4 linked regions of the Lytechinus pictus genome follow. The protein of the gene in region 4 purifies or fractionates together with the protein of the main gene of each other region. This does not show direct contact. Links are inferred from orthologs where the notes say so. Each region holds a gene or a part of one and is shown on either strand. Other genes may lie near its edges.

The links.
Region 1: the proteins of syntaxin-18-like (region 4) and sec1 family domain-containing protein 1-like purify together in Homo sapiens (affinity purification with mass spectrometry; 5 studies listed by BioGRID and IntAct, counting the BioPlex papers as one, with this or other methods). This does not show direct contact. The link is inferred for Lytechinus pictus from reciprocal best matches to the Homo sapiens genes STX18 and SCFD1.
Region 2: the proteins of syntaxin-18-like (region 4) and vesicle-trafficking protein SEC22b-like purify together in Homo sapiens (affinity purification with mass spectrometry; 5 studies listed by BioGRID and IntAct, counting the BioPlex papers as one, with this or other methods). This does not show direct contact. The link is inferred for Lytechinus pictus from reciprocal best matches to the Homo sapiens genes STX18 and SEC22B.
Region 3: the proteins of syntaxin-18-like (region 4) and vesicle transport protein USE1-like purify together in Homo sapiens (co-immunoprecipitation; 4 studies listed by BioGRID and IntAct, counting the BioPlex papers as one, with this or other methods). This does not show direct contact. The link is inferred for Lytechinus pictus from reciprocal best matches to the Homo sapiens genes STX18 and USE1.

What each region holds. Positions count from the first base shown.
Region 1 is NC_087251.1:20,938,183-20,946,025, reverse strand, and holds the start of sec1 family domain-containing protein 1-like, read left to right. Parts: upstream 1-4,822; 5' UTR 4,823-4,870; coding exon 4,871-4,901; intron 4,902-7,259; coding exon 7,260-7,330; intron 7,331-7,843. UniProt on the Homo sapiens protein: Plays a role in SNARE-pin assembly and Golgi-to-ER retrograde transport via its interaction with COG4. Involved in vesicular transport between the endoplasmic reticulum and the Golgi.
Region 2 is NC_087259.1:20,212,502-20,220,490, reverse strand, and holds the start of vesicle-trafficking protein SEC22b-like, read left to right. Parts: upstream 1-4,970; 5' UTR 4,971-5,547; coding exon 5,548-5,622; intron 5,623-5,929; exon of another isoform or gene 5,930-6,126; intron 6,127-6,968; exon of another isoform or gene 6,969-7,276; intron 7,277-7,839; exon of another isoform or gene 7,840-7,989. UniProt on the Homo sapiens protein: SNARE involved in targeting and fusion of ER-derived transport vesicles with the Golgi complex as well as Golgi-derived retrograde transport vesicles with the ER.
Region 3 is NC_087249.1:30,180,964-30,188,629, forward strand, and holds the start of vesicle transport protein USE1-like, read right to left. Parts: upstream 3,003-7,666; 5' UTR 2,818-3,002; coding exon 2,719-2,817; intron 1-2,718.
Region 4 is NC_087256.1:16,138,329-16,145,886, forward strand, and holds the start of syntaxin-18-like, read left to right. Parts: upstream 1-4,549; 5' UTR 4,550-4,595; coding exon 4,596-4,751; intron 4,752-7,558. UniProt on the Homo sapiens protein: Syntaxin that may be involved in targeting and fusion of Golgi-derived retrograde transport vesicles with the ER.

The sequences.
Region 1 (7,843 bases), on a different chromosome or scaffold from region 4:
AGCCATATGTCAGCAGTGCCACCCAGCTAATATAAATGCATATGTTTATTCACCAATTATTGATTTCCAGTGGTACACCTCAAAAAAATGGATCCCCAGGCATGCAAGCTCTATAGCTTGTGCCCCTTCCAAAATCTGTCCCCCCGGGATAAGCGCTGGGGTTGCCCCAACACCTAATCGTATTAAAAAAACACTAAATACGACAGTACTAGTGAGTATGTTTCGTGGTAGGATGTAATGCTTTTATATGACATGGATTAATAAAATCATATTGAGATCTAATATTTTATGCCCATCCCCATTCTCTTGCAATCAGGTAACCCAAAGACACGGGCCTTCATGTACCAAGGAGGCAACAATGGTTTCTACAAGGCCGTCTACCATGCTGTACCCATGGTCGTCATCCCTTTCTACGTTGACCAACACGATGTTGCCGCCAGGGTGACCCCTAGGGGACTGGGAAAGGTCTTGGACAAGTTCAGTCTCAGTGTCGATATCATCCACTCCGCTTTGACTGACGTCATTACAAATGATAGGTAGAAGTAGTACTATATATTTTAATTTGTCAAATACTTGGCCTTTACTCGATATGTTTACTGCTTGTTCGAAAGTCATTATCCTAACAGTGCCTTTTCAATTAAAAATGCAAAATGCTAAATAGTTAATATGCTAACTTTTGGAGATGTTATAGTGGAAATCACACTGAAATATAAGTTGGATTAATTACTTGATGACTGTCATGGCTGTTGGATCCCGAGTTTGGTAGTCTTGATTAATTCCCGTTTTCGATAAACACATATATAAACTTTTTTGGCTATATTCCAAGTTTTGGACTAAAAACAATGGGAATCAATGTGTTTAGTTGGCTCTTGGCTTTATACGAACCGAAAATAATGTGGCCTACAATATATTTGATATAGGCTTAACCGGGGCTTAGCATGTTTAAGGGTGACGGATCATGAATGATGGTTAGCCCAAATACAATTCCTTGAAGATTCATGAAAACATTTTGTGAAAATGAGTGCCTTCCAGGTCACAATTCTTTACAGTTAAACGGATGTTTAAATAATTCCCAATGTATGTGATATATTACATGTATCTGTCATATTCCTTTGGATATACATGCACATCATCATGATCATATGCAGATGACCAAACAATACCACCTTTTTAGATATGAGAATCTCTCTCTTGATTTAAATGTAAACGAATTGAAACAGAAGAAAAGATGTCTTAAATCATAATGAAATATTATAACAAATTACATCATAATCTCATGAAGTTGATTCTTATCGTTTTATTTATAATTATTATTTGCAGCGGTACGGCAAAAATATTCAGCGGACTTCGGCAATCTTTAGGGATCACGACATTACCCCACCCGACACCGGTATATTCTGGCTAGAACATGTGATGAAATATGGAGGCTCCTATATGCGTACACCAATAAATGAGCTCAATATCATTCAATACTATTTGATTGATGTTATCCTGATTTTCATATTTTCTACGGCTTTGGTCATATAGGGCTTCTTGTTTGCTCGCGCCGTTTACTGATCCGATGCATTTGTAAAAGGAGAAAAGAGAAAGTTGAGTGACATTAATTTGTTTCTCGCTTTGAAGACCTTGGCACTGATCGGTGGGATCAAGGGCGGATCCAGGATTTTCAAAGGGTGGGGCCACATCATGTTTCCTAGGTAAAGGTGATCCTCACTTGTGTATGAAGACCATATTCTCATTCGAAATATATGCTGTGACTCTCAAAGGGGCCGGGGCACACTTGTGTATGAACAACATATTCACATTAAAATATTGACTATGTGGCTCTCAGAGGGGGAGGGGGGCTGGGCAAGGGCCGAATTTCCACCCCCCCCCCCCTGGATCCGCCACTGGGTGAGATGTCGAATTGACAGTAATTATGATTAGGCCCTATAAACCAATAGATTTCACTCGTATGAAATAAATCTGGGAAAATATGAAAAACGCACAAATATTGATTCGTGTCGATGGTCTTCGAAGCAACATTGCATTTGCCCCCCCCCCCCCAGAAAAATCGTATGTGACAGTATGGTGATCCCCCTCCAAAATCAAGTTTTTTAATTAACACAATAATTATTATAAAGGGTAATGTTTCAAAGTGGTTGCTATTGTGTGAATGCCATAATTATGTTGATTAACACCATATAGGTTGTTATTTGTAGTCGTAACTTACCTTGTATATATTAGGATTGATTTATGTTTTCTTTTATATATGTATTTGTTTGTACATTGTATTTTGTATTTTTAAACGTGTCCACTGGACCCCTCAGTAGAACAGCCTGTGGCTGAAGAGGGCCATCCAGCCCACGAGTGGAAAATAAATAAATAGATAAATAAAAATAACATCATACAAAGCATTTCCCTGTAGTTTATATGACTATGAAATCAAATCCATTTTTTCACATCTTCAATCCATATGCCTGCATTTTCACAGTAAAAGTCTTCTTGCATCGGATAGAATATAAAAAGGGTAGGCCTATACAATATCGATTCGCCACCTTCGTTTTTCTTTTCTTGTTAAAATGATTGGAATATTTACACTTTATAATAATACAGGCCTGTAATGTTATATGATATTTTTATCCCACGGGAATAAAAACAACAAAAAAATGATACGATTTTCTTTCTTCAGTATGATTATATGATATTTCCATGAAGGCATGAATACAGTCTTAAAAATAATTTAAACAACACTGTTTACTACGTGAATCGCACAGTAGTACGTTGTTTAACAAGTGCTTAAAATCTTAAACAATCAAACCTATATTATTGATGATTAAATATTTGAATTTAAACTGTTGTTTAAGATTTTAAACACTTGTTTAAAATGTTTAAACAACTACTGTGCGATTCACATTGTAAACAGAGATGTTTAAATTGTTTACGTACTTAATTTGTACCAGACAATGCTTGTTACTATTCTAATATATGATTGTTAAAAAATAGATGATCTTTTGTACCTTATATCATAAATCGTTTTGTTTAATAATAAAGAAAGAGATAATCCCATTATCTCCATTACTTGACAGGGAATTCTTGAAAATTGTAGTTTTGACTGTTAACACATGATTTACTAATTGTGACGATTTTTTTGCCAGTGGAGAATCAAATATATTTTCTGAGCAGCACTATGGGCGTAATTATTTAATTGGTTGGGTTGCAAACACATTCAGAGGTAATATCTTCCAGTGCCTGTAGGGGCGGGGCGGCATAGGCCTACAGTGGGCAGGGGCGCGAACCACTTCTTGCACTAGGCCTACGGGTTTTTTTTTCTAAAGTGAGAAGAAGAAAACAGATCGAGAGAAGAAGGAAGAAAGGAGAATAAGAGCATTAAGAAACTGAGAGAGGAGTAGGTCAGAAAAAATGGTCGTCGTGCCTGCCCCCTCTCCCTATTAAAATATCCTTGCGTCACCCCTGATCCTTCATTGCTACATAATGAACCAACTGCGAAGTAGGTATGCCTATATGTACAGGGGCGGATCCAGGATTTTCCAAAAGGGGGTAGGGCAAATTTTTCGGAGGAAAAATAATCAACCACAAATTAAGTATATTTCGTACCCGAAAAAAAGGTCTTCAATTTCAAAAGAGGGCACACCTATGTTTTAATGGCATTTTCACATTACAAATTCTAATTTTGCTTCTCAAGGCCGCGCCTGATGTATAGGCCTATTGTTGTCTGATCCGACATCGGCGGAACCTAATTGAGTCATATTCGAAAGCAACCGTGTACCGGGCACTGAGCACTATGTATACCGTTGATACTAGAAATTAAGTTTTAGCCCCGATTCCCCATTCACCCATACGGTACAAGACGGGGTCGGTGCCCATCAAAAACCCCAAGTATCACTGCAAAACTAAAGTTTACTTCTTGAAAGATCTTTTGGCAAAAATAATTAGAATTAATCGCTCCGATTACTTCTAAGCTACATAAAAGCGGCATATAGAACATGATTGGAATTTATCATCCAAGGGTGACATATCAGGTTGCGGAATCGCGATCTCGATTGCAGTCGTCACCGCCCATGTGGCATTAGCCCCCGGTGCCCCCATAAATCCAGACGGCATATCACTGATCTTCCCGCCGCCCCCCTCGGTTCAAAAAATGTTGGTGCCATGTGCACCCGGTGGTCTAATGAAGGTTTATTCGAAACTCATATTTCCCATAGACTTATGGGGGCTGTATTAGGCCCTATAGGATTTATATAATCAATTCCTTGAATGCGCCTGTAGCCAGCTGAAGCTAGCTAGCCGGGATATATATATATGCCTATTGTGCGCCATTGATAGGCAAATAGATAATCGGCGTTTCATTAATGCTCTATATTATAATTATTAATAATTCGCATAAACTGAAGAAATATACCTGATTCAAGAAGAATACTGAAATGTTAGCATATGAGTCACTTCACAGAACTTATATACCGGTATACCCCACCCTCTTTTATCATCAACTTTAATTCTTCTGGACATGGAGTTTTGAAATATGACTTTTATATCAAATTACAAGTATTCTGCAAATAGCAAAAAAAATGAATTGATTTTCAAAAACTGTTTGTGTAATTCTTTGCTCAAATTTCTTTGAAATTAATGAACCTTGTAAACGTGCTTGCTTAGGCCTTTAGCCCGATCTTCCGTCGATGTGTTTATACATGTATTCCACTTTTGTAGAGTAATAATTAGGCCTTAACTCACGTTGTCTTACCCTGAGGAAACATGGTAAAACCAGTGTAAAACTTGTTTGCTTTATTTATCTTTTTTTCTCTCACGTTATGTTTTAGACACTACCATTAATAGTCGCCAACTTCATTATTAAAAATAATTTTTTGACGACATGGCAGCGTCCATCAGAGAAAAACAGATTGGTAAGTTGAAAAAATAAATTCTTTGTAAGTTTTTCTAAACATTTTATGTGGATAATCATAGCATAATTTTATGATAGGAACAAATATGTTCAGATGAACATAGCTTTGTTCACCATGTTTTAACGTTAGCCAATTTGACAAGACATTACCGGACGAGTTGAGTGACTGTTGTCCCATGTATTATTTTTCGTGTGAGTTGTGACGTGGCTATTCTCGACTCTCGGCGCGGCATATTTGTTAAATTGTTTCTCAGACTCAGTCTCGGCCTCGTAATTAAGAAGGCTATTTTTTTTTCATACATTCTGTTTTCACAATTCATTTGGAGAAATATTTAGACCATAAATCACGCTAGTCCCGTGAGTATGGTCAAATACACGGTAAGCCCCTGGGCTCCCGCCCGCGCAGCGGGCGGGAGTTCCCTGGGTTACTTTCTTTACTTTCTTACTTTTTCTGCCTCCAGCTGCAGCTCTGGCATCTGCTCCGACCTTGCTCTTGCCTTGCTTGGTTTGGCCTTGGGCTTGGAGAATGTTGTAGAAAAGTGCACAGACGTCGACTTCGGCACCTCATGATCTTTTAACTTTAAGTAGGGTGTCTGAAGCCACACTGAAAAGTGTCAGCATAAAACAGGCTGATTTAGGGGAAAATATGGCACATTTTTTCGGGGAAGTTCAGGCTACTAGAAAAATGTGATCTGAATTGATTATCAACTTGTGTTTGGCATGTATGGAAAGAGAAAATTCAGGGGCTTCTTTTGACAGAAAGGACAAGTTTATAGGATCATTTTAAATAAGGATTTAGAGATAAATTGCAAACCCTTATTTTTGTGTGTGTGTGTTTTGTGTGTGTGACAGAAAGGACAAGTTTATAGGATCATTTTAAATAAGGATTTAGAGATAAATTGCAAACCCTTATTTTTGTGTGTGTTGAGATTGCCATTTCTCCATGCGTTTTCTATGGGAAAATGAAATTTCTGTTTTGCACAATTTTTTTCACTTTGTCGCAATTTTTCATTGTGATCTGGTTTCCAAATCTTTATAAAAATCATACCATCAGATAGAGCATAAAAAATCCTATTGGACTCTTTATGGACAAGTTTTTGGCATTAATAATAAATTTCAAACAGCTCTCGGAAGCTAAAAATTTGGATTTGTGTGTGTCCATTTCTTAACTACACAGTCTATGGCAGAGAAATGCTGAAAAATGACCTAATTTCATTCTTATTTTTTGCAGCCAATAATTGGATTTTTTTCAAAAATGTTACATTTCTGTCAGTCTGAACGTCATTTCTCTTCAAATTCACAAAGAAAATGTGATATTTTCTTGAAATAAGAAAAATAATTTTTTTCTCCAGACACCCTACTTTAAGAATTGAATTTTGTTTTGTGTTTGTTTTCTTGAATTGAGGTTCACTTAACTCTGTATCGGTAGGCCTACTGTGTCTGTAGCTTATTATTATACTGTTTTGTAACAAGAAATCTAATTTATTTCAATTGTCTAATTTTTGTAAGTTAAAATGAATAGTAGGTCTATGGCTATTTTGTGCTTTTTTTTAGTTTAAATTTACACTTATTTCAACTCTCTCTCTTTCTTTTCGAGTTTATTACTTTGATTCTACTCAATTTTCTCCTCATAATAGCAATCAACAAACATATAAACATACAATATAATACACAATATAGGTAAAATTTTGCTTTAAAAAAAGAATAGCATTTTTGGTCATAAGAGAAAAGCTCTCAACTAAGTAATGTACAGTCCTATGTAAATATATGCTTTAAAAAAACTTTATACATAGCAGTCTTTAAAAATTGTGGAGCAAATTGCGATGCAATACCAGGAAAATTATTCCCTGCAATAAAATTTGTAAAGAACATGAGTGTAGGCAGTGGCAAGAAAGGACGAACCTTATAAACGCCAACCCAAGATACTTAACATAATGGTATAAATTGAAATAACAGAAATTATTTCCAGTAAAAATAAGACAACTAAAAGCCGAACAAACCCTAGACAAACTATAATACCAACAAGAGCTTATATATCAATGCAAATAATTCTGACCAAGTAAACAAGTTTTATATATTTCTCTTTTAAAACATTTAGTGATTTACTTTAAAACAAATTTAAGTTGGAATCAAATTCCAACTGTAAGACTTATGGAATGCTAGTAGAGCACATCCCAGTGGATTTTGTAAGAATTTGGTCATGAATAATAATGCTAAATTGCTTATGCAGCTAAAAATTTATGTTTAGATAAATGATTTTCAATTTGTTACAAATAGCAGTACCATATTATAAAACTTTTCATGTATGAAGCGAGGTGAATTAAAAATGTTAATTTATTATTATTTATTTTTGTACCAGCTGCTTTGAAGCGAATGCTGAATCTGAATGCAGTTCCGACAAAAGCTTCACTTGCAGAACCAGCATGGAAGGTAAAACAAAATATTTAATGAGTATTGCTTTTGACCCACACCTACAAATAATCATCCTCTAGTATACAAATAATGAATGTTTATGAGTGCAATGGACAGAATTTCTTATGAGGTGAAAGATGAAATGATCCATTTACGCCTCACTGAATGAAGTATTCTGTCCATTGCACAAATGATAAGAGCATTCATTATTTGGTCTATATGACACCTAAAAACAGATTCTTTTTCATATGAAATTTATGAATGCAAAATATGCTCACGCAGTGCAAGCTTGGTCTGTTGATTGTCGCGTACATACAACATGTGTGCTGCAAACACGAGTGATTTATTTGTGGTGCCTGCAGTCTGGGTGCACGCGTGCAACTGACAAAATTGTATAGATCCTAAATTGCATGATGAATAGATCCAAAGTTGCATGGATGATGATGTCATTGTAAATGGGCTGAATGACCAATATCAAACAACCAATCAAATGACAATGATCTATCTAGGTGTCATATAAATCTAAATATT
Region 2 (7,989 bases), on a different chromosome or scaffold from region 4:
GCTTTTCGATGTTATGTTTATGTTGTTTTTGTGTTTTGTTTTGGTAACATTCCAACTTGCATGGTTTCATACCCGTTTGCCGTTTTCATTTTCAGATGCATGCTCGCTTGTTTGGGGTTGTTCTGTTTTTGTTTGAGGGAGTCTTTAATCATTTTGGTCTGTTTATTATTATTATTATTATTTTTTTTTTTGTTGCTTATTTGGTAATTCAGTACAGTGGGGAATCCAAGCGGGGAGCAAGGTCCGTGTACCCGTAATTCCCGTTTCTTTTTACATGATAAAAGTGTCAAATTAAGGGGGCTCATCCCTGGATCCGCTACTGAGTAGAATTTATTATTTTGGAGATTTTACTTAATGTTCATAATTTTCTAAAATCATATTTTTAATCTGCCATCCCGATAGTCCTGATAGTCATTCATGAAAATCTATCAAATAATTTGGTTTTTGTTTTTAGTCGCTCCAGTCAATCACCAAAAGATAATCAGCCACACGACCTATGTCAAATAGTAGATCAACACTAGCTCATTCAAACTATGGGCATCGGAGAAGAGGATTATCTTTTGTATTTTTTAGGGGGTGGATGCAACAATAGAGGTCCCCAATGAATATTAATCCTCTGCTCTGCTGACCATATCAATCCCCTCTCGTTAAGATTATATAAATTTTCAATCACTCAGAATTTTTAATACAACAATCCAAAACGGAATCAACCAGAAAATGGCGCAGCATCATCGTTTCAGTCAATTTCATTACAGACAAAGAGTCAAATGGGCAACATGTTATTGAAACTTCACGTCTTTGCAGTCAAGATGTTGTTTATTTTTTTTCAGTCTATGAAATGAATGGCAAGGTGAATGTAGAATTAATACAAATGGCAAATAAGTTTCATACTCTTGTCTTTCATAAATGGAAAGAAATCAATAAATCAAATACTTTGTAACAAAATTTACTGTTTGGCCATCTACGACTACGTACAATACATAAAATTGATATAAAATTAAGAATGATATGAATACAAACAATAGAATGTAAAAATAATTCTTGTACTGCAAAATAATTAGTACCAGGGCTAACAACTGCGTAGAATATATATTTTCTTTGTAATTTCTTGGATTTTATATTAGTTTATTTTTTACAATAAAATTAATGGCTCAATGATACTTATAAGATCTACGTCGGCCTCCGATATAGGGAAAACGAAGAGGAAATAAGGATTTCATATCATTCCTTTGATAAATCAAACAAAGTTTTAGGGAACATAGTGATATAAGAGGTCATTGAAGACTATCTTTAATTCACTCAATGCTAAATCTTTCTTGAATACAAGTGTGGTACGCCTTCTTGATGAAATAATTTGAATGAAGATAATGTACATAAATTAATTTCATCATAATGGCCTTAATCTATCATTCTTACACTATCCTTTTCATAATTATGCTCATTGTTTTATTGCAACTTCCTTCAATATCATCATTTACTGGTTCCATATTAAAACACAAAACTACTGCCCTCGCTATTGTCATTTCCTTTACTACATCAATGGTCCTTTAAATCCCCCAAAAATGAACGAGAAAAATTAAAAGGGAAAGAAAGACAAAATAACGACGAGACCGACAATTAATTTTGAATCATCTGCTGAAACTCTAGTCTCTTCACCCCGAATTTTGCCATCCGCTGTTCCCATGCCGCCAAATTTGCTTTTATAGAAACGGACAGGTAAGGGCTGGAACCATGCCGCGATTTTACTGGTGTCTTCCCATCGATCTGTGGAGAAACTGGTAAGGAAAATTTTTTAGAACATTTGAATTACACAGCATGATGGAAATTACCGATTGATATAATAGTTTAAGTTCAGAGTATGGTTAAGTAAATAAAAATATGTAGACCTACTTTATCCCTATGCGTTGATTTAGGTATCCCATATACCTCAGACGCCCTCCTTTTTGACATCTTGTCTACCATCCAATACTGAGTTGTCAACCTGCTGTTTGATATACTGTTAGTAAAGATTTGATATCTGTTTGAAAAGTCATTGAAAGTATGAACTCAAAGAATTTAAAATTAATATTAGACGAAAGGAACATTTTATTAATTCTATAAATCACTTTAGGCCTAACTCGGGCAACTGAATTCCAATTGAATTCACAACAGTAACTGATAATTCTAACCGAATTCGTCAACATTGTCATCCACTTTCGATTGATGTTATTAGCAATGATGACAATATTAAAAGGCCCCTTGTTTTAAATTAAAACGACCAAAAAAATTAGCTGCAGACCTCTGATATGTGAGGGACAGGCAAAATTGAGGGGCAATTTTCCAGCCTTTGATCTAGCAATGACGTCTTTTAAAATAACACTCGTGGAAGAGCCTTTTTAATTTTTTTTTCTTGGGGGGTCCATCATCCCTGGAACCGGATGTATTATTCAAATTAATAATAATATTGAAAATAACTATGATAACATTAAAAAAATAACACAGTTTAACTATTGAGGCCAAAAAGGAAATCACTAAGAATTAATCTCAATCACGTTAAAGGCAATATCAAAATGAGCCCTGGTCAAATTCGCCAACTTCGTCACCATCGTCATTCACCCGCTCATATTGCATTTTCACAGGCAATAAACATCTTTGTTTTAAGATTTTTATTAATAAAAATAATTGTAGGTATATTCTTAACTTATTTAGGCCTAACGTAGGCATATCATTTGCCCTATCATTTGAGAAAGATGTAGACTTCAACTCAATCACGCAAAGGCAATCAAAATGAGCCTTGGTCAAATTTACCAACTTCGTCACCATCGTCATTCACCTGCTCAAATTGCATTTTCATAGGCAATAAACATCTTTGATTTAAGATTTTTATTCATGAAAAATAATTTTAGATATATTCTAAACTTATTTAGGCCTAACAGAACAAAAAATGGATTAAGAGAAGTGTTTCACTTGCGAGGAGCAACGTATCTGCACGCTCTTCCCTCCTTACAAACACACCGGCAAAACACTCAATGTTGCGCGACCGAATTCTGGTCGAGCGCCCTCTCACTATAGGGGCAATGTATAAGCCCTCGCTACTCATCAGTTTCACTGCTAGTTGCATATTCGCTGCGACTGGGTGAACACACAAGTCTTCCCCTTCACACTCGTACCAAATTCACTACACCTACACACGAAGTCATGACGTCACAAGAGTTTACATGAGGCTGCGTCCGCTTAACTCAATAGCTAAGAAACCCGGAAGTAAACAAAACCCCCCCGACGCGGTCAATTTTAAGGTTAGTTTTTGGCTGTGTGCTTGTCTTAATCGACATTTTTTTTGAGGTGGGCTGGAAGTGCTGGTTTCTTGCATGATATGCCAAAGTTTTCTGGCTCATGCATTATTTTTTTTTTTTCAACAGCTGTTGAAACAGCTGTCTGACCGAATTCTGGGAGGTGACCGAATACCGGGCGCGTTACCCTATTTTATTTATTGGTGCCCATAATTAGTAAATTAATCATAAGAATTGCGCATTCAAAGAATTTAGACACAGTTATAAAATTACCGAGGAGCTGAATCAAGGTTGTGAAATTTATTAGCGCCACCAACGGGCTTCCTTGTATTTCCGTAGAAGAGACAAACGAAGTCACTTGCTAGGCCGAGGTAAGCGAAATTTGCTCTTTTTAAATGAAATGAGTTAAATATCATATGTATAATTTTGTTATGTATTGCTACTTACCGGAAAGAGCCCCGGTGCGTAGCGAGAAGGAGTTTCGGCAAATATTACTTCAGCAATGAAGCAATGTTTGCCGACTAGTTCGAAATCTACGGTCAAACACGGTCCGGTGTACGAGGTTCGTATAATATATACGAACCTCGTATTAGTTAACCCAGAGAGCTCCCGCCCGCGCAGCGGGCGGGAGCCCAGAAGCTTACCGTGTATTTTACCATTGTCACCGGACTAGGGTGATTTATGGTCTAAATATTTCTCAAAATGAATTGTGAAAACAGAAAGTATACAATTACCACGATTATATGGATGAAGGTCTAACGAGTGGCAGTTTCCTGACATCTGGGCACAGACTGGAACCTCAAAAAAACGAAAAGTTCTCTCCTTCTACCCCCGTTTCGATCGGCCATTTTTGTTAAAAATTGTAACAAAATGGCCGATCGAGACTGGGGTAGAGGAGAGAACTTTTCGTTTATTTGAGGTTCCAGTCTGTGCCCAGATGTCAGGAAACTGCCACTCGTTAGACCTTCATCCATATAATCGTGGTAATTGATTGTATACTTTCTGTTTTCACAATTCATTTTGAGAAATATTTAGACCATAAATCACCCTAGTCCGGTGACAATGGTAAAATACACGGTAAGCTTCTGGGCTCCCGCCCGCTGCGCGGGCGGGAGCTCTCTGGGTTACGTATTAGTGTGAGTGATACCGCCCCGGCCCTGCCAGATCAGATGCATTCTGCCATTTTCACCTTCTTCAATTGAACTTTTTTACCACGCAATTTTAAATACGTGGGACATACATTACGCAATTCAGAGCTGAGTCAGGTACACCACACATCCACGGCAAGACTTATTATATACTTGACATTATTCAATTGATTGAATAAAAATGAAAATTTAACATAAAAAAACAGTGAAATATTCATTTTAATACGTACATTATCAATCAATAGGGGGGAAATACGTAATACGAAATATAAGAAAGCTCCTCACGTTCGAAGTTCGTCGGTCAAAGTAGTTGAAGATAGCCACTACAAAGTTGACTGTTCGTTTATTTTGCAATTAAAGAATTTCAACAATATGTTTGGGGTTCAAATATATTAAATAAATTCAATTCTTTTTAATTTGAAACTTAAAAGTCTAAAAATATTATTTTTAAACTATTTTTTTTGATAAAAATAAAAAAAATCATTGACCCGTATTTTATTTTTAATACTTGGAAATACGATTCTTAAATTGATATTTTATTCATTACCACTCTCTCTTACCTTTTTCCTCTTCGGATTTCATGGTCAATACCAGACGTCATAGTATTATAAAATTCAATAAAACTGCACGTTATAAGTGTTTTACTTCGTCTATGATTGTATTATTTATTTTTTAATTGAAGATCTTCCAAAATAGTTGCGTTCTCTAAATTAAATCTTTGAGAAATGCAATTTATGCATTCGAAATTGATAATTCATCTTCAAAGTTTCTGCTGTGCGTTTTGAGATAAGGCTAATTTTGTGGTACACGTATGAATCTCTTTTTAGATCCTATACCACCCTGGAATTTCGATTTCAATTGAATTTCAGGTATACCATTTGGTTATCTTGCTATATTCGACACATTTCTCAAGGTTTTAACGAAGCAGTAAGAGAAGAGCTATCCACGCTCATCGGGAATCGACGTGCTGAGAGCTTAGAAGATCTCTGTATAACCTAGTTCAGCATCACTAGCTCCACGTATTGATTTTGCTGTAGGCAAACCTGAGGAACAGTTGCACTTGCAGTTGTCTTGTTGACCAGTCCATCCATCCATTCCTTTCTCTTTTTCATCATAAACAATTTCTCAAGATGGTTTTGATGACGATGATAGCCCGTGTCGCTGACGGGCTGCCCTTAGCAGCCTCGATGCAGGAGGATGAACAAGTAAGTTTATCTAGAATACTCATTAGAGAAAGAAAACCAAACAAATTGCATAAGTAAAAAAAAATAATAATAAAAGTACCGGTAAGTCAAAACGAGCCAGTGCAGTGTCCGTCAGTCTCCCCCTCTTTTGTTTGTGTCTGTGTGTGTGTGAGGGGGGGGGGGTGTTAATGTTATTTTGAATATGCAAACTAGTCAGTTTTGACTATTTGTTGCCATGCCTTGTATAGGCACGGCCGTAGTCACTAGATGGCGCTGTCGCGGAAGTGCTCAAAATTTGTACGCAAGCTTCGTTCGCATGTCAATCATTGCAATCGCATAGCGATGCGATATCGTCAAAATTAAGCCCCTGTTAGCGCGGATGTGTATGATATTTTCTCTTTGTGATTGTCCTCCCGTGCGATGAAAAATATGTCATCGTATTGCACAGGACTTTCGCGAGCTACCGATACCATTTTCGTGCCCCAAATTCCATGAAATCTTCCGAAAATAAACATGAAAGTGTCGGTAAGTCGAAAATGTCTTGAGTTGCTTTCAATTCTTACCTTATTTAGTTGTATTTCTTGTAAAATGGGTCTCGAAGGGTTCCGGATTTTCCGTTGATTGTGAAACTTGAGTTGATTTCCTTTCTGTGTATTGCAGTGAAATTGCAGCGCGGGGAATCGCAAGGGCTGGGGAAGCCCTTCTCAGTGAGGTTTGCAAGCTGAGCTGTCCTTGAATTTGGTCGAATTTCGAGCCATTTTAATCGCGCGCGGGATGATAAATTTACATCATAATAGAGATTAAGATTACGTCACGTACGTGCGTACATGTGATACACACAGAAATGAAATTGAACTTGAATCACACGGAATCACAGTCAAGAAATGCTTTGTTTTCTTCGTTTGCTGAATGATTTCCTGAATTTAAAATCATGAATAAACACCAGAGTAATGACATGAATAAGATAATCATGGTCATATTTGAGAAATAACTAAATATTTTCTGAAAACGAGTGAAGATGATGGGGCAGTGATGTGCATGCACTGGAAAATGAACATTCACTGTCAGTGTCAGTGCCGTGGTGTCAGTGTTTTACTGCCAATACTGGCTTTACTTTTGCCAACTACCGGTAGATTAAAAACTCATTTATTGATATGTTTATTGCAATTTTTGAATAAATGGTAATACAAAGTGGGAAAAAAAAGATAAATGAAGATAAAAATAATTTTGACTAAAAACTTGTCATGCCATCACCCCCCCCTAAAAAAAAATACCCACTATCTTGAATGACTCAGGTAATTTAATTTGTATTGAAAAAAATAAACAATTGTATTTATGCATTTTATATTTCTGATTCTTTCTGCCAGAATACCAGATGCCATCATGAATAACCTCACCACCAGGTTGAACTCCTAAACATCTTGATGATGACTATCTCCCGAGATATATCTTGCCTTCTTGAGATTGGAAGTTTTAAGTTCAAGTCAGAGCGACCTAAGGCCCTACTACCAAGAAGAATCCAGATTTACATAAAAACAAATCCCACGAAAGATACAAACTGATTTTACTATTAATGTGTAGTGTGTGTGTGAGACACTGTTTGTGTTTATTTTGATGAGGATCTCCTGTCTCTTTTTATTATTTCATTGACTGAATGAATGATCAATACCTAAAAGTGAGAACTGATTTTTGAGGAGAGTAGATAAGTGTATGGTTTTGAGTGAATTTGAGTAACTTTTGTTTTTATTACCGGTATTTTTTTCATCATTATTATTATTTTGCCTTTTATTACATATTTTCAGTTTATTTAACATTAAGTTTAAGTAACCAAACTTGATCAAAGTGTTCAATTTTTGGGATAGAATTTTGTAATTTCATTTATCAGGTAATAAAACTGAGTTTGGTAAATCTAAAAAAGGACACTAAAAATATGAACACTTGGAGATGCTCACTAAGATGAGGAAAAAACATGAAAGGAACTGGAACTTAAGTGGATGTTATAGCATGCCTTTCGAAGATCTCCAAGCACCTGGAATCATAGGCGGTGGAAGTGGGGGGGGGGGGACGTATCCCACTAAATTTTAGGTGGGGAGGGGACGACCCCCCCCCCCTCAATTTTTTGTTGATAACCTTTTTTTTTTTTTTTTTTTTGGCTTGTCAATTTTCACTTTTGTTTCCTGTGTCCCCCCCCCCCTAAGATTTTTGGTCACTATTTTTTTTTTTTTTTTTGTCAAAAAGTTTTGGCGGTTCCCCCCTAAAATTTTTGGCTTCCGCCGCCAATGCCAGGAATGATGATGTTCAACTGAGAGTCGCTGAAGTGGAACTTGTTGCAGAGAATGATTATTCCAGGACAAGTTAGATGATATTACCCAGCCCATACATCACAAC
Region 3 (7,666 bases), on a different chromosome or scaffold from region 4:
CATTGCCATTGCATCAGAAACAAACAAAATTTTAATCAAAGCTTCTTCAACTTTAAATATTGTGCATTTAATTTGTATTCATTTCTGCAGTTGATTAAACTTAAAGGGATGGTCCAGACTTGAGATATTTATATCTAAATAGAGTAAAATTCACAAAGCAAAATGCTTAAAATTTGATCGAAATTGGATAACAAATAAGAAAGTTTATTGAATTTTAATGATTTGCATTATTCTGGTGAAACAGGTCTAGGCATGTCTTTATGAATATTCATTAGGTGGGCTGATGATGTCATATCCCCACTTGTTCTTTTGTATTTTATTATATGGAATTAGATTTATTTAAAAAATTTCTACCAAGAACTCAATCAATTGGATTGACAACTGATTAAGTGCATTAGTTATTTATTGCCGCAACTTATTTCATCATAATGGAGACACATCATTTACACATGTATGAAAAAAATGAAACATTTATGATTTCATGTAACATAAGAAAAAGGAAAGTGGGGATGTGAGTGTGACATCATCAGCCTACCTAATGAATATTCATGACGATGTGCATATAGCTGTTTTCACAAAATATTGATAAACTTTAAAATTCAATAACTTCATTATTTGTTATCCGATTTTGATGAAATTTTCAGCATTTTGCTCTGTGAATTATACATCCATTTAACTGTTTGTGTTAGACCTCTTGTAAAGCATGTAAGGACCACTCATTCAATGAACAAGGTTATGATATAACCTTGTTCTCAGTTACATCTCCATGTGTTGCAAAATAAGGGTAGCAATGTTTGGCTTATTTTCTCTTTTTCTTTGGGACAAATGCTTGATTTTTTTACACTGTCTGTTTCCATTACAGCTATTCATCATATAACTTGGCTCTTAAGTAAATTTGATTCTTTAAATTATTTTTTCTTAATTAAAAATAGAGATTGAAAAATGAAAATTTTCTTACCATATTACTTTCCACCAATAGAGGGCGTACACAAAAATGTGCCCAAAATTTTAGTTTTTGAGCGCTCTGGTGAATACAAAAATTAGTCCCTGGTTACTAATGAAAAATAAATTGCAACTTTATGGAATAGTAATTTTGGTCACAAAAGTGACATTTTAATGATTTTTTAAAGTGTGTGCTGTGTACAGCATTGGCATACCATAGTCCTACCTGTAGATTCCCCACAGGCAGGATGGTTGCAGTGAGCAAGTGGTAAGGACTTTGATATTGATGGTACTGTAGTGGTAGAATTTTATTAATTTAAGTTTATTTTTTTCCGTTTTGGTGCATTTCAGGCCAAAACGGAATAATAATCTTTATTTTGGTCCAGTTATTATTATATATTTTTATGAAATTAAGACAAAAATTGATAAGCCCCATCGGAGGGATTTTGCATTGTTAACCCCCAAATGGCAGCTGCACATGGCTCGCGATCGTGACTCAGCCATCTGTGTACAACCTGTCTGTGTACGAGGATAATTTTTTTTTTAATGTTTAAAAACTCCTCGAAACAGACGGCTGCCAGCTGCTGTCTAGTCTAGATCTAGACCAAAAGCTTCGGTCCCTGTTATACTTATGTTGGTTGTTCCACTGAACTCCGTTGGCTTCACTCACGAGAAAAAAAAAAAAAATGTTCAAAAACTCCTCGAAACAGACGGCTGCCAGCTGTCTAGTCTAGATCTAACTTGTTAGACCTTGGATTGGAAGAATGCACACCTTCCTAGCAATGCCAATAGGCAATAGCACGAAAAGTGATAAATAAAACTGATACTGATAGACAGGAATAACCGTCGTTTCTGGGGATTTATTCAACAATTTCTGACATTTTACTATAAATGTATTGGTGATAAGTGAGCCAACGCAGTTCGGCGGAACAACCAAAATACAGTATTACAGAGACTGAAGCTTTTGGTCTAGAAAAGTGACTGTCATATATTCTAGGATGACCTTTCTGGGCCGGTAACTTCTCCAGCGGCATTTCCGTATGTGAGTCTGACTGACTATTCCGATTCGGCGGCGCAGCATACCGGGATTACCTTGCCCCGGGAACCTCGACACGACGTCTTTAGTATAGTGAGTGATTGTATTACCGACCGGCCTTGTATTACCGAACGCGCGCATCATTCATACGCATCAGAAAAAAAATTCATACATTCAAAATTTCGCAACATCCTTCCAAAGAGAACTTGAATAGAAAGATGATGAAAAATTGTCAAAAACACATTTTCAAAGTCTTAATATTCTAAAAACAATAAAATATGGTCAAAATAGCTCATCAGTGATTTTGTTGTTTTCTCAACTTTTCCCATAGAAAACACACGTTCGGTAATACGATACCTTTTTCAAGTGACCAAAATATTTCACATGCGAAGAGGGGTCCGATTGGAAGCAAAAATCGTAAAAAGGAAAAACTATTTCGGCAAAAATTTTACATATTTATATTTTGTAGGTAATTGTGTATTTATGGTGAAAGTTTGGTGAATTTTATGAGAATAATGTGCTTGATATGATTGAATTCATGAAAAGTGTTCGGTAATACGATCCACTACCATACGTGTTCGGGTAACCCAGACTGGCCAGAGAGCGGGAGCTCTCTGGGTTAGTGTTCGGGCTGCCGCAGTAAGGATTACCGGCCCGTCATGCGCCGAGCCGGGCCGGGGCCGGTGCGGGCCAGACTGACGTTAGCGCTGGCGATGGATGCATTCGCAAAATCGGCTTACCTTTTCCAGGCGCCAATCCCCCGATCTATTTTCCGCAGCCATTTCTTCACATCTTATTAAAAGTCGTTGGAAATTTACTTCTTCACGAGAAGCTGGCATCTTTGATATAAAAAAGGATAACGTTAGTGTCGTTACAATCAGATGAGAAATAAGTGACGTGGACAAAACTGACGCAAATGTGATGTTAATATTCTGCTCATCGCCCGTCTGACACTGAAGTTATCAACCAATTTCGAAGACATCTCTCAATCTCGATCTCTGTCTTGATTTTTTATGAAGATTCTAAAATTAGAGTTAGTGATTTATAAGGAATCCTAATTTTCTCTCGTGAAAAAAAAATTCTAAAATTTCGGACGGGGGCATTATTACACAAAAAAATAATAATAGTGGTCAAGTTCACCTCAGTTTATTTTTTATGACAGCTGTTACTTGAAGTAATACAATGGATATGGCAGCCGGATGATAGAACAATATTTTTTGTTTTAAGTTGTTATTTATTGAATTCTTTCAATACATCATCAAGACAATATCACTTTTTTGTAACATGATACAAACAAAAAATATACATACATAGTTGTTTTATCATTCATTTGACTTGGAAATAAAAAGTAGTATCTGTAAGTATGCATAAGTACATATCGCTAATCATGATATTTTACATTGAACTGATTTTTAATATGAAATTCATAAAGTACTTGTACAGAATGAATGAAATTAAGCAAAATATATCATCCGGAGGGACAGGAACCCCACACCATACACATAAAACCAGAGAAAAAAAACCCACAACAACAACATCATGTACACTGATGGAGGGATCGATTGATCAGTCTATGATTGCAAAAAAAAAATATTGAATTTATATATATATATATATATATATTGTGTGAAAGAAATGGATGAAGAGAACAATGGTAGGCGTAGCTTAAATCAAGGTTCCCCAGAGCTATCTACCCTTTTTGGAAAAATTGGTGATGCCGAAAAAATGTCTCTGCCGGGAATCGAACCCGGGCCCCCAGCTTTGAACGCCGGTGCCTTAACCACTAGACCACAGAGACGGGTTAGTGGCTAGGGAGACCCCGATCCAATGGGGACATCCCGATAGACCGCGGGTCCGATAGACCGCGGGTCCGTTAGACCGCGGGTCCGATAGACCGCGGGTCCGATAGACCGCGGGTCCGATAGTCCGCGGGTCCGATAGTCCGCAGTGTGTGTAAAATTATGATCAGATATATCAAATGTTATCGAGAGGTCCAAAGGTCAAATGATACGAGGCCATGGGGTTCTATCAGGTGCGGATCCATGGAGGGCCGAGGGGGAACTGCCTCACCCCCCCCCCCACCCCCAGCTAAAAAAAAAGAGGGGGATCGAAGAGGGGAAAAGGGAGAGAATAAAAAAAGAAAGAGGAAGATGGGAAAAGAAGAGAATAGAAAAGAGAGTAAGAAGGAGAAAGGAAGAGAAGAAAAAGGGGAAAGGAAAGACAAAGAAAAAAGGGAGAAGAAAAGGGGAAAGAAGAGGGAAAAAAGAGGAGGGAAAAGGAAGAGAAGAAAAGAAAGGAGAAAGGAAAAGGAGGAAAAAGAAGAAAAAAAAGAGGAACGAAGAGAAGAATATTTAAATAGAGAGGAAGATGGGAAGAAAGATAAGAAAAAAGAGAGAGAGAGGAAGAGGGAAAGAAGAGAAGAAAGAGAGAGAGGGAGGAAGGGGAGAGAGAGGAGAAAAAATATTAAAAGAGAAAAAAGGGAGAAGGAAAGAAAAAGAAAAAGGGAGAAGTAAAGGGGAAAAGAGAAAAAAAGTGGAAGAGGGAAAAGAAAAGAACGGAGTAAGGAAAAGGGGGAAAAGAAGAAGAAAAAAGAGCGAGAGTAAGTGGGAAGAGAGGAAAAACAAGAAAAGAGGGAAAGAAAAGACAGCAAAAAGAGAAGAAAAGGGGGAAAGAAAAGATGGGGGAAATAGAAGAAAGGGGGGAAAAGAAGAGGGGGAAAGAAAGAGAGAAAGAAAGAGAAAGGAAGGAAGGGGAATTAGGATAAAAGAAAGAAAAAAGAAAGAAAAGGAGATGGGAAACGGAAGAGGGAGATGTTGACCTGGACGTCGATTTGATGGCGCCAAAATGACGTTCGAACTATGGGGCGCCGAATTGATGTTCGATCTAGCGGGGCACCAAATTGATGTTCGAACTAGGGGAGCGCTAATTTGAATTTTGACCATAATGCGACAAATACATGTTTCAGAGAGTGGAGGGAGGGCAAAGTTATATTTCACATGATGGGGGCGCCAAGTTTATGTTCAACCGAGGGCGCCAAATTGACCTTGAACTTAGAGGGCTTCATGCAAATTCATTTTCGACCGGGGACGCAACATTGCCTGTTTATAGTAAAATATATGTCCTGCCAAAAAACTTCAATTAATGCGGCTGAATTGAAATATCCCGTTTTTACGATAACAGAAAAAAAAATGTTTTCGAGTTATAAGTCTGTTTAGCGAGATAGATACCCTGTTCAGGGTCACAAAAAAGGGTTATTGTCAAATTCAGCTCGCGCTACGCGCTCGCAATATTTGATTAATGAGGTATGCATCCTCTGCTTCAATCCCACATGTAAGTGTTAGTGTTTTTCAAGTCAACATACATAGGTCGATCCAGGGGGCAAAGATTTTGCCCCCCCCCCCATGGTGGCGCAAAAAGGGGTAAGAAACAGAAAAAAGGAAGAGAAAAGGACAAGCAATTAGAATAGGAATTATACCTTAGTCCTTCTTAAGTCAGTATATAAATACAGCTCAATAGGCTGATATGTAGTTTAAAATATCAAGTTTTGATATCAATATACAAAACATAATTCAGCTCGGACATCGATCTTTCATTATTTTGTCTTATTTACCAATTTATGTTTTAAGTGCTCTGGAAAATGTCCGTTTTATGGTTTGAATCAACATTTGCAACATTTTGTGCGCTCGCACTATATGCCAAGTAGGCCTATGTATTGTCTTTTTATATTTAATATAAGATTCTCTAAATATACCTTTTCAGGTGTCTCGATTAAAAATAATAATAATAAAGGCCTATGAGCTAGCGCTGTGCGCTCGCGTTTTGATTGGTGAGTTATGTATACCTATATATTAATTTTATAACAAACTACTTAAATCCCCCCATTAAAAGAAAAATACGGATCGCGATTTGCGCTCGCATTATTTGCTAAAAATATATCAACCAATGAATCCTATTCATGATTACAAAAATACTTAAAATATCCAGTTTTCAGGCCTCATGCACTGTCAACAAATTTCACACACTCATTAGGCTTAACAGATTAATAAATATGAAATAAAATTTGTATAAATTCATTATAACTAAATTGTCCCTTTTTCAGAAATAAATTTTTAGGAAAACAAAGAGAAGATAGTCATCATTCTTATATGATGACAAAATGTCCTTAGGCCTAAAATGTCTCGATCCTAGGTCAAATAAATAATAAAATATCAGCTCGCGCTTCGCGCTCGCATTATTTTTATAGTGCTATCAAATTTCCCTATATACACAGTGCTGTAAACAGTGCTTAAATTGACCCTTTTTATATCGGAATTTCAAATATTATTTTCAGCTCGGGCTCTGCGCTCGCATTATTGATTTTTATGATGAAAAATGAAATGTATTCAGATTGCCAGGATTCTGTCTAACTCTAAAACACGCGCACGCATGTTTTTAGGATACAAAGCTTGATCTTATTCAAAACGTGCTAAAATTATCCAGTTTCGAATCAGAATATCAAAAAAATTTTGCTCGCGCTTTGCGCTCGCATTATTATTGTAGGAAGATACCAAAAATTACCCATCCTTTTTCATGATTGACAAACATGAATCGAATGTCCCATTGGGGGATTTGAAATCTCATCTTTTTAGGTTGGAATATCAAAAATGTTCAGCTCGCGCTTCGCGCTCGCATTATTTAATCGTTGAAATATGTATCGTCTTAATGGCTAACTGCAAAACATCCTTAACATGTCCCTTTTCGACCAGGCCAGAACGAATATTTAACATTTCTGCTCGGCTTCGCGCTCGTGGTAATTATCTAGTTATATACGCTGTTCAGGTTCACAAACATTGCCCAAAATGTTCAATTTTCAGGACAAAATACATGAAATTTCATTTTTAGATTACATAGGGCTTAAGAGATTATTACACATGTATGTTGCTTATAAAGTAAAGCTAGGAAATGACTGTTAGGACATGGGTGTTTTGCCCCCCCCCCCCCAAAAAAAAAAAAAAGAAGAAGAGAGAATCAAGACTAAGAAAAAATAGAGAGAAAAGGAAAGGGATAAGGATGAAATATAATATTATTTTCCAAATATTATGTCAAAATCTATCACAACCTTGTGTTTTTGTAATAAAAATGTCAGCATATTTGCTTGCTCGCTTCGCTCACTGGCAACTTCTTATTAATTTTATGCGATACACCATATCGATCCCCCTCGAAATTGTTGGCTCATTACGGCACTGGGACAACCCCTTCAAAGAAACAAAAAAAAAAATCAACTTTGAGCGGCCGATCGGGGAAAATATGGGTGAAAAAATGGCCCCTCCCCCTAATGGCGGAAGCTGGGTCCGCCCCTGACTTAGGCTTTCAGGATATAATACATGATAAATCTATACAAAAAAAATCAGATCGCGCTTCGCGTTCTCATTATTTATTTAGGCCTTGTGAGATACCTCAATTTGTTTTTAAGAATGAAATATCAGATTTTCTTTGACGTCTACCACCCCCCCCCCCATTTCATTTATTTTTTTAACTTGGTGCCCCCCCCCCCTCCCTCCCCACGAAATCCTGGATCTGCGCCTGGGTTCTATAACAATAACCCAATTAGGGCAATCACCCCCTGACAACTACTTCAAGGAAAATATTATCCCCATATTTTTACCGGCGGGGACTGATACCCCCCCCCCCCGGAAATTTACCCTCCAG
Region 4 (7,558 bases):
CACCGGCCCTAACTTCAATATTGTTCCGATACCTATATAGGAGCAAACGCTTAAAAGGAAACCAAAATCCAAGAAAAGAACCAATCTTATTGAAAAGAGTGAAATGAGAGGAACAATTTAAAACAAGTTTGATCAAAATCGGTTATGAAATGAGCAAGTTATGGACGTTTAAAAAGTCTTGTTGTTCCTTCTTGGCAAACGTGCTTCAAAATGGCTGATTTTGTGGACATATCTCCGATTTTGTTGTACACAAATTTTCAGATTTTCCCCTTTATTTTACATATTTCACATTATCTCCTCCTGACCTTGACATATGTGGTGTGAATTATATTTTCCTATATGACAAATGGAGAGTTGTCCTCAAAATCAGCCATTTGGAAGCACGTTTGCCAATTTGAGGATCGACATAGAAAGTACAACAGGAGTTTTCAAACTCCATAACTCGCTTATTCTATAACCGATTTTGATAAAACAAGTGTTAGATTGCTCCTCTCATCTAATTCTTTCTGATAAGATAGAGTTTCTCCTTGTCTTTTTGGTTTCCTTTAATGTGTGCCCCTTCAAGCATGTCCGGCACTGCTGAATAATTATGGCGGCATATCCTTGAACTAGTATCTCCAACTTTTGGACGCCCGTCGATTTTCTGGTCATGTTATTGCGAGCGTAAGACTGAGTTTTTAATTGTTTTTCACCTCATTTTCTTTTTTTTTTAACTCCCCCCTCTAATTAACCCTCATACTATTCAAGTGGTTCTATGACATTTGCTCCGCCGAAATTTTATTACTCCGCTGTTAATTCCAGACACTGAAGGAATTACCCATTTTAACCATGGGTTTAACATTATCATGATTATGCTTCATCCTAAACCTAACCTTATATTAACATAGAACCCCACTGCTACCCAAACCCCATCTTAGAGGAAGCCCCGAGTAACTATCGACGGATCAAAAGCCTTGTCACCATTTAGGTTGGGGAGTGGGATGAAATAATAGGTCACCCCGCCCCCAAATAGGTTCACCGCTTGGGTTTACACCAGCTCTATTTAACCCCTTGAAATATACTATCAGACTATATAGGACATGTAGACAGAGTTGTGAATTTGCATCCATGGAACATGTATATATCAGACTAAGAGTCTAGCTGATATTTATCAATATTTCAGTTATAGTAGCAGACAGAAATTTGTCGTTTTCGCTAATTATACAGAGCTGCATGATAAAAGTTGAATACGTTGTAATTTGTATGTTGTTGTAAATAGCAGTAATCCAAAAATTAATCATCTTCGTATCTTATATTCGTTTTACCTTATTGTGATCAAGGTTTATGTTCAACAATGCATAAATGCAGTGGTGATGAGAACAATACTTTAAAACTCATTTGCTAATGATGAGGTATTTTGACCAGCGCTTTGATTGTCATCACTGTAACCGCTCTTTTTATAACTTGCCTATAATGAGCTCTGTCTTCAATTATTGATCAATCATTCACAATATATTTCGATCTACTTCCAAGGTTGATGTTACTATTATGAATAAAGATACAAATGATGGAACTATTGTATCCATTTTCTGTTTTACATCATTCATCATTAATGCACGTACAGTGTATACTTGAAATTTGTAATTTGTTATTTTCAATTCCTCATAGTTTTACCTTTTCTTTATTCTGTACCCTCATAACTCCCTTCCCTCCCCTCCCCCTCCCCCTCTCTCTCTTCCTCTATTAGTCTCTCTTCCCTCTCATCTTAGAATTACCCCTCCATCATGTTGCTCTCGATGGGCCATTCAGTTCTAATACCTAACCCAACTTCAAATGTATTTTGTGCTCTACTGTCTTGTATGGTGTGCAATGTCTCTCTCCCTCCCTTTCTCTCCCTCCTTTCCACTGTCTCGTTCTCACTGTCGTGCGTATGGCAAGCCGTTTTAACATTTAATCATATTTCTTGATATCAAGAAATCGAATTCTTGATATCAAGAAATGGTTTTGTGTAGTTAGGCAATGGTTATTCTTGATATCAAGAAATTGAATTCTTGATCATTATCAAGACGTATGATTAAATGCTAAAATGGCTTGCCATACGTGCGATCCTTTTCGAACGCCACGACTGGCTTTTCGTAACCGATCGCGAAAATGTTTAAACCATTCAAAATACATGTATTAAACAATGTATTATGTATCAAACATGTAATAAACAATGTTTTATAATTAGTCTTATGTTATTACGTAATTTTCAGTAAGTGTGATCAACTGTTAATTTTTAGCAATATTCATTTCGTTTTGTAATGTTTTGTGATACATGTATGATTTGTTTGATTATGAATATATTAAAATAAAAAAATTGTTTAAAAAAATATGAAGCTATCTACGATCAAGACGATCGCTACAACTGATCTGATACGATCTGATAAGATCACTACGATTACTCAACGATTAAGACAACCGTTACAATCATGGCACTATTCGTGAGAGTGGGCAGCAATCAGTGTTCCATTATTGTTATCTTGTTTACTCTTCAGTTTCAAATAATTTTAAGCTGGCAGAACATTCGTAACTAGTGTATAATATGATATCACAAGAATTTGTCTTACTTTATTTATTTCGATTTATATTTTAACTTAAATGTGAATAAAGAAACAACAATCAAACTATCGTATTCATTGTCTATTTTCCTTGTCTATCATTTAAATCATGATGAATTGTATCTGTTCCATTTTTGTTTTAAGCCATTTCCCGAGCAATGAGCTCAAAATTCAGTAATAATTTTGCATTAAGATTTCTATAATCCAATCACAAAGCTCGTTAGATAAGAATCCAAAAGGCGTATATAATATATATTAGATATAATGAAATTTTCACTGATCTTGATCAACGGATGAATATTGCATGTAAAGATTAGAATGTGAGATGATAATCCACTATATAGTTCACATTAATGATTATGCAATTTTACCCAAATTTTAGACAAGTAAAATTAAGTCACAATTCGTTAGGCTTCCAGAAAAATGCAATAACTTTTGATTTTGACAATTAGTCGGATTAACAATAGGATTTTCAAGTTTTTTTTTTGTTGTGTGTGAAATGGATGTGTATGGGAACGAGTATGATAGAAGAAAATGATTCGGGAGCTTTTTGTGTGTGTATTACCCACAAATAAACACAATTCCATTGGTTTTTTTTTTCCAACGAGAGATAATAATGCTCGAACAATGAAATCTAATAGGTCTAAATGTGATGCCCTAATAGATGACACGAACAGAGAAATGTTCTTATATTAGACACCCAATGAATTTGTTTATTTTTAATCCTCCCGAAATGTAAAGTACAAGCAATAAAAAAACGTGAGAAAGTGTTATTTATGGACGTTTATTATGGTATGCCTATATACACCCGGGGAGCGTTTCATAAAAGGGCATGTCAGACGTTTTCTCTGACAAATCCCATTTTAACCGACAGTTACTATGATAACAGTGCCTTTCAGCCAATCATAATCAAGGAAAGTTGTCAGACCTGACAACTTGTCGGATGCAAATGTCGATGAAACGCTCCCCTGAATCTAAGCTACATGGGAGAATTTACAAATTGAAATCGAGATTGTGATCCCTCGTTATTCTTTCCTTGGAGACGTTCAAGATCGGTCCTAGAAATATTAATCTGCATGATATAAAAGATAAAATGCTGTAAAAACACAAAAATAGTTTTTACACACGCACACGCTGACGAATGGTGTTATAAAGGCAACAGTGTTCCCCAAAAGACGTCGACACCGATCGCCTAGTTGTCTGAAATGATGTGCCAGGAAAAGGAAGGCGGCGGCGTCCTCACAGAATAAAATAGATGTTAGTTGAACATAATCTATTGTCCTATTCTCTTCCCCCTTTTATTTTTCTTTTGGATTGCATAATGATTATTTTTATATAAATAAGAAGAGAAAATTTTAGGGACGGTTACATTTAACGTTCATAATTTTGGAGATGTTTTCCTTGTTTTCTTTATCCCTTTATACCTTAATACTGCATCAGCTGGAAAAATACAGTTGTTTTGGAGTCAAGTTTCAAGGTCAATCTTGTTGTCTTCCTAGCTTGGATGAATTCCGATACTGATCTGCTATTTGTGCTGTACTGGTATAGTGGTAATGCCATGGTCACATTTGTTCTACGGCGGCCGTACGGCGAGTCGAAAACAGCCGTTTTAACATTTTTTGTCCAACTACATATAGGTGGTTTGAATCAAAATTGATAAAACGGCTGTTTTCGACTCGCCGTACGGCCGCCGTAGAACAAATGTGACCAAGGTATAATGAAAGGGCACTATTCCCATGTGCCGCTGCGTAAACATAATGTCACTCAGACCAAAACTTGTGTAGCTTTGTCTTGACTTATTGTTTCTTTAATTCTACTCTATCTCTTTCACTTTCTTTTGTTTTCTAAATTATTTCTTATGTGTTTTATAATAATTTCCTTTTACTCTTCTTTTGCAATGATCTTTACACGAGATTTAGCGTGCGAATGTACGTAGCTTGGTTTTATTTTTTAATTTTTACTTCAACGACACCTCTTAGAATGACGTGTGAAGCTAAAAAGTAAAAATTTGTCAATATGGCAGCAGACAGAACCCCACTCTTCAAAGCATCAATTAAAACAGTTCGGACAAGAAATAAAGCTCTTGGAGTTACCAAAGATACTTCTAAGTCATCCCTCTTGAGTCATGCAAAACCCATGAAAGATGATTTTGCTTTAAAGGCAAAAGAAGTGGTAAGTATTTTTTAATCGGTTCCAGAGCAGAGGCGATAGCGAGCCGGGCCGGGAGCTCAGCCGACTCGGGGGCCCGCGGCGGGGGAGCTCAGCGGAGCTCCGGCATATGTGCACTAGAGGCGCACAGACACTGCACAGGCAGGCACAGCCAATATGGGAGAGATTATCTCCAACTTCTAACACCAGTATTTAAAGGTCAAGTCCACCCCAGAAAATTGTTGATTTGAATAAATACAGAAAAATCAAATTAGCAGAATGCTTTAATAAAATCGGATGTAAAATAAAAAAGTCATGACATTTTTTAAACTAAAGTTTTGCTTATTTTTCACAAATATGGCTGGGCGCTAAATGCAGTTTCGCACCGGCCGCCGGCCGATTACCAGCATACCTCATCACCAATACTTGTTCCCAAATGTCATGACAAGTCTCTCAGTCACATTTCGAGGTCAATATACCCACCTCTTCCAAATATCGGGAACGGCTGTATTTCAGCTTTGATCTCGATGTCGTTGTTCGAATCCTCTTCGCGGATCGCTTGGATTCGCCGTGCGCCGTAATGTTGATATGGACTGAAGTTATCAACCAAAAGATTCGCCTGCAGCATGCTGGCAGTTTGTTCGCCACATGTTCGCATGATTTGGTTGCTAACTTCAGTCCCTCCCTGGGTTAGATAGGGCGATGCCCTGCGCAGGTCTAATATGGCCACACATCGAAACTTCATCAATTCAAGTTTAAAAAAACATCCATAAATTTGGACCGATTTGAACCCAAAATTCATGAAATGCAATAAAAATGTGGTGAAACATAAAATGAGCTATCAGATTTGAGCTTATTTTGAGCGGATTACGTTGGATTTTGAAGCTAAATTTGGTATCAAAATCTAGCTAAAATTCCGCTGGTTACGATGCCGCCATATGCACTGTACAGGGGTACAATCACAGAGGGGGAAATGTAACCCAGGGAGCTCCCGCCCGCTGCGCGGGCGGGAGCCCAGGAGCTTACCGTGTATTTGACCATAGTCACCGGACTAGGGTGATTTATGGTCTAAATATTTCTCCAAATGAATTGTGAAAACAGAAAGTATACAATTACCACGATTATATGGATGAAGGTCTAACGAGTGGCAGTTTCCTGACATCTGGGCACAGACTGGAACCTAAAAAAACGAAAAGTTCTCTCCTTCTACCCCCGTTTCGATCGGCCATTTTTGTTAAAAATCGTAACAAAATTGTGCACATCCGCGAGAGCATGCTAGTGCGCCATGGCCGTGCCTACCTCTAGGCAATATCAGAGATTTTTGTATCCAATTTTAGATACGTTTACGTTTGCTGGAAAATGATAGTTTGCACCTGAAATTTGAGGTGCTGAATTATGACATGTCACTTGACAATCGATGATCGTTTTTTGTTGTGTCGTTGCAGGAACGCCCTTAGCTGCACGCATACGGGCATTGTGTAAGGGTGTTGGAAGTGTGGTGCTAAGGGCGTTCCTGCACCGACGTGACAAATTGTCAACTTATTTCACAATCACCAAAACACACACCAAAAACATTGCATTGTTATGCACAGGCATAATCGCTTACCATCGAAAAGTCCTAATTTAAACTCAAAATTTCCTTTAAAAAAGTAATATTTTACCCTTTTAAAGCTGCGGAATCTGCGTCATGATTCCAGAGCACGCGACAGCATAGCCTTATCTTAGGCTTAGCTCAGATTTGATAAGCGGGGTCGCTGAAAAATCTGTGGTTTTGTTCTGAGTTCATAAACTTTTGCAAATGGTATTTTAGGATCATATCTTAAAAGTGACATAATCAGAAAACCAGGACCGCATTGAATGTGCACAGAAATGAGTCAACAATAAGCTTCCGAGTGCCTTCATTTATTCGACAGGGGCACCTAGCTAGCCTAGAGGACTCTGTGATGATTTTATTTCATATTTTTGTCATTGTATTTTCATCACGGAGCCTTGACACGGACCAGATAGTTGAACTTGATGATTAAACAGGGATTTCCCTCTAGAATTACTATTTAGCCCTGCCAATTTTTACCAAATATGAAATTTATCGGATTTTGAAGATTTTATACACCTTATGCATATAAATGTGTAAAAAGTATCAAATTATAAACTTGAAAAATGAGAGGTTTCTTTCCAGACCGATCTGTGGTGGCCATTGCAAAATCTTCCCATGCTGCGTAATACAATAGTAGGCTTGACCCTTGACTCGCTTCGTTATGACGTAGCTACGATGAGCTACGTTATGAAGCGCCGTTTTGTAGAACAATCTATAGACAAAATTATTGTTTAACAAATAATTATCATTTAGGCCTACATAAAATTTTTATATTGGTTGTAAGTAAAATATAATTATTTTTTGTGGGAGATAGTCTCCTATATTGGAGAGAGTGAGAGTCGCCCATATTGGCTGTGAACATCTACTTCCTAGAGTGCGGCAAAATTTTGAAGCAGTAAAACTTAGAAGATGGTAAAAAGCGATAGAAAAAAGAATTAGAAAAGCACAAAAATTTCCATTTACTTTGATTCTTTACTTTATCATCTTTAATTACATGTGCAATAAATCCATGATTCTAAGCATGCGACCAATTCTTTTTAATGAAAAAAAGGGAGGAAACAAATTCGACACCCGTCATGATGATCCACTGTACATGTAGATTAGCTGTCCTATCAAGTATCATTTATCATGCTGCAGCATAATTTAGGCCTGGTAACAGCCAGGAGGCATTTGGACTTGGATTGGAGTGTATAATCATTACTAACACAAGGTTACTCTCCTAGATACCTGGCAATTG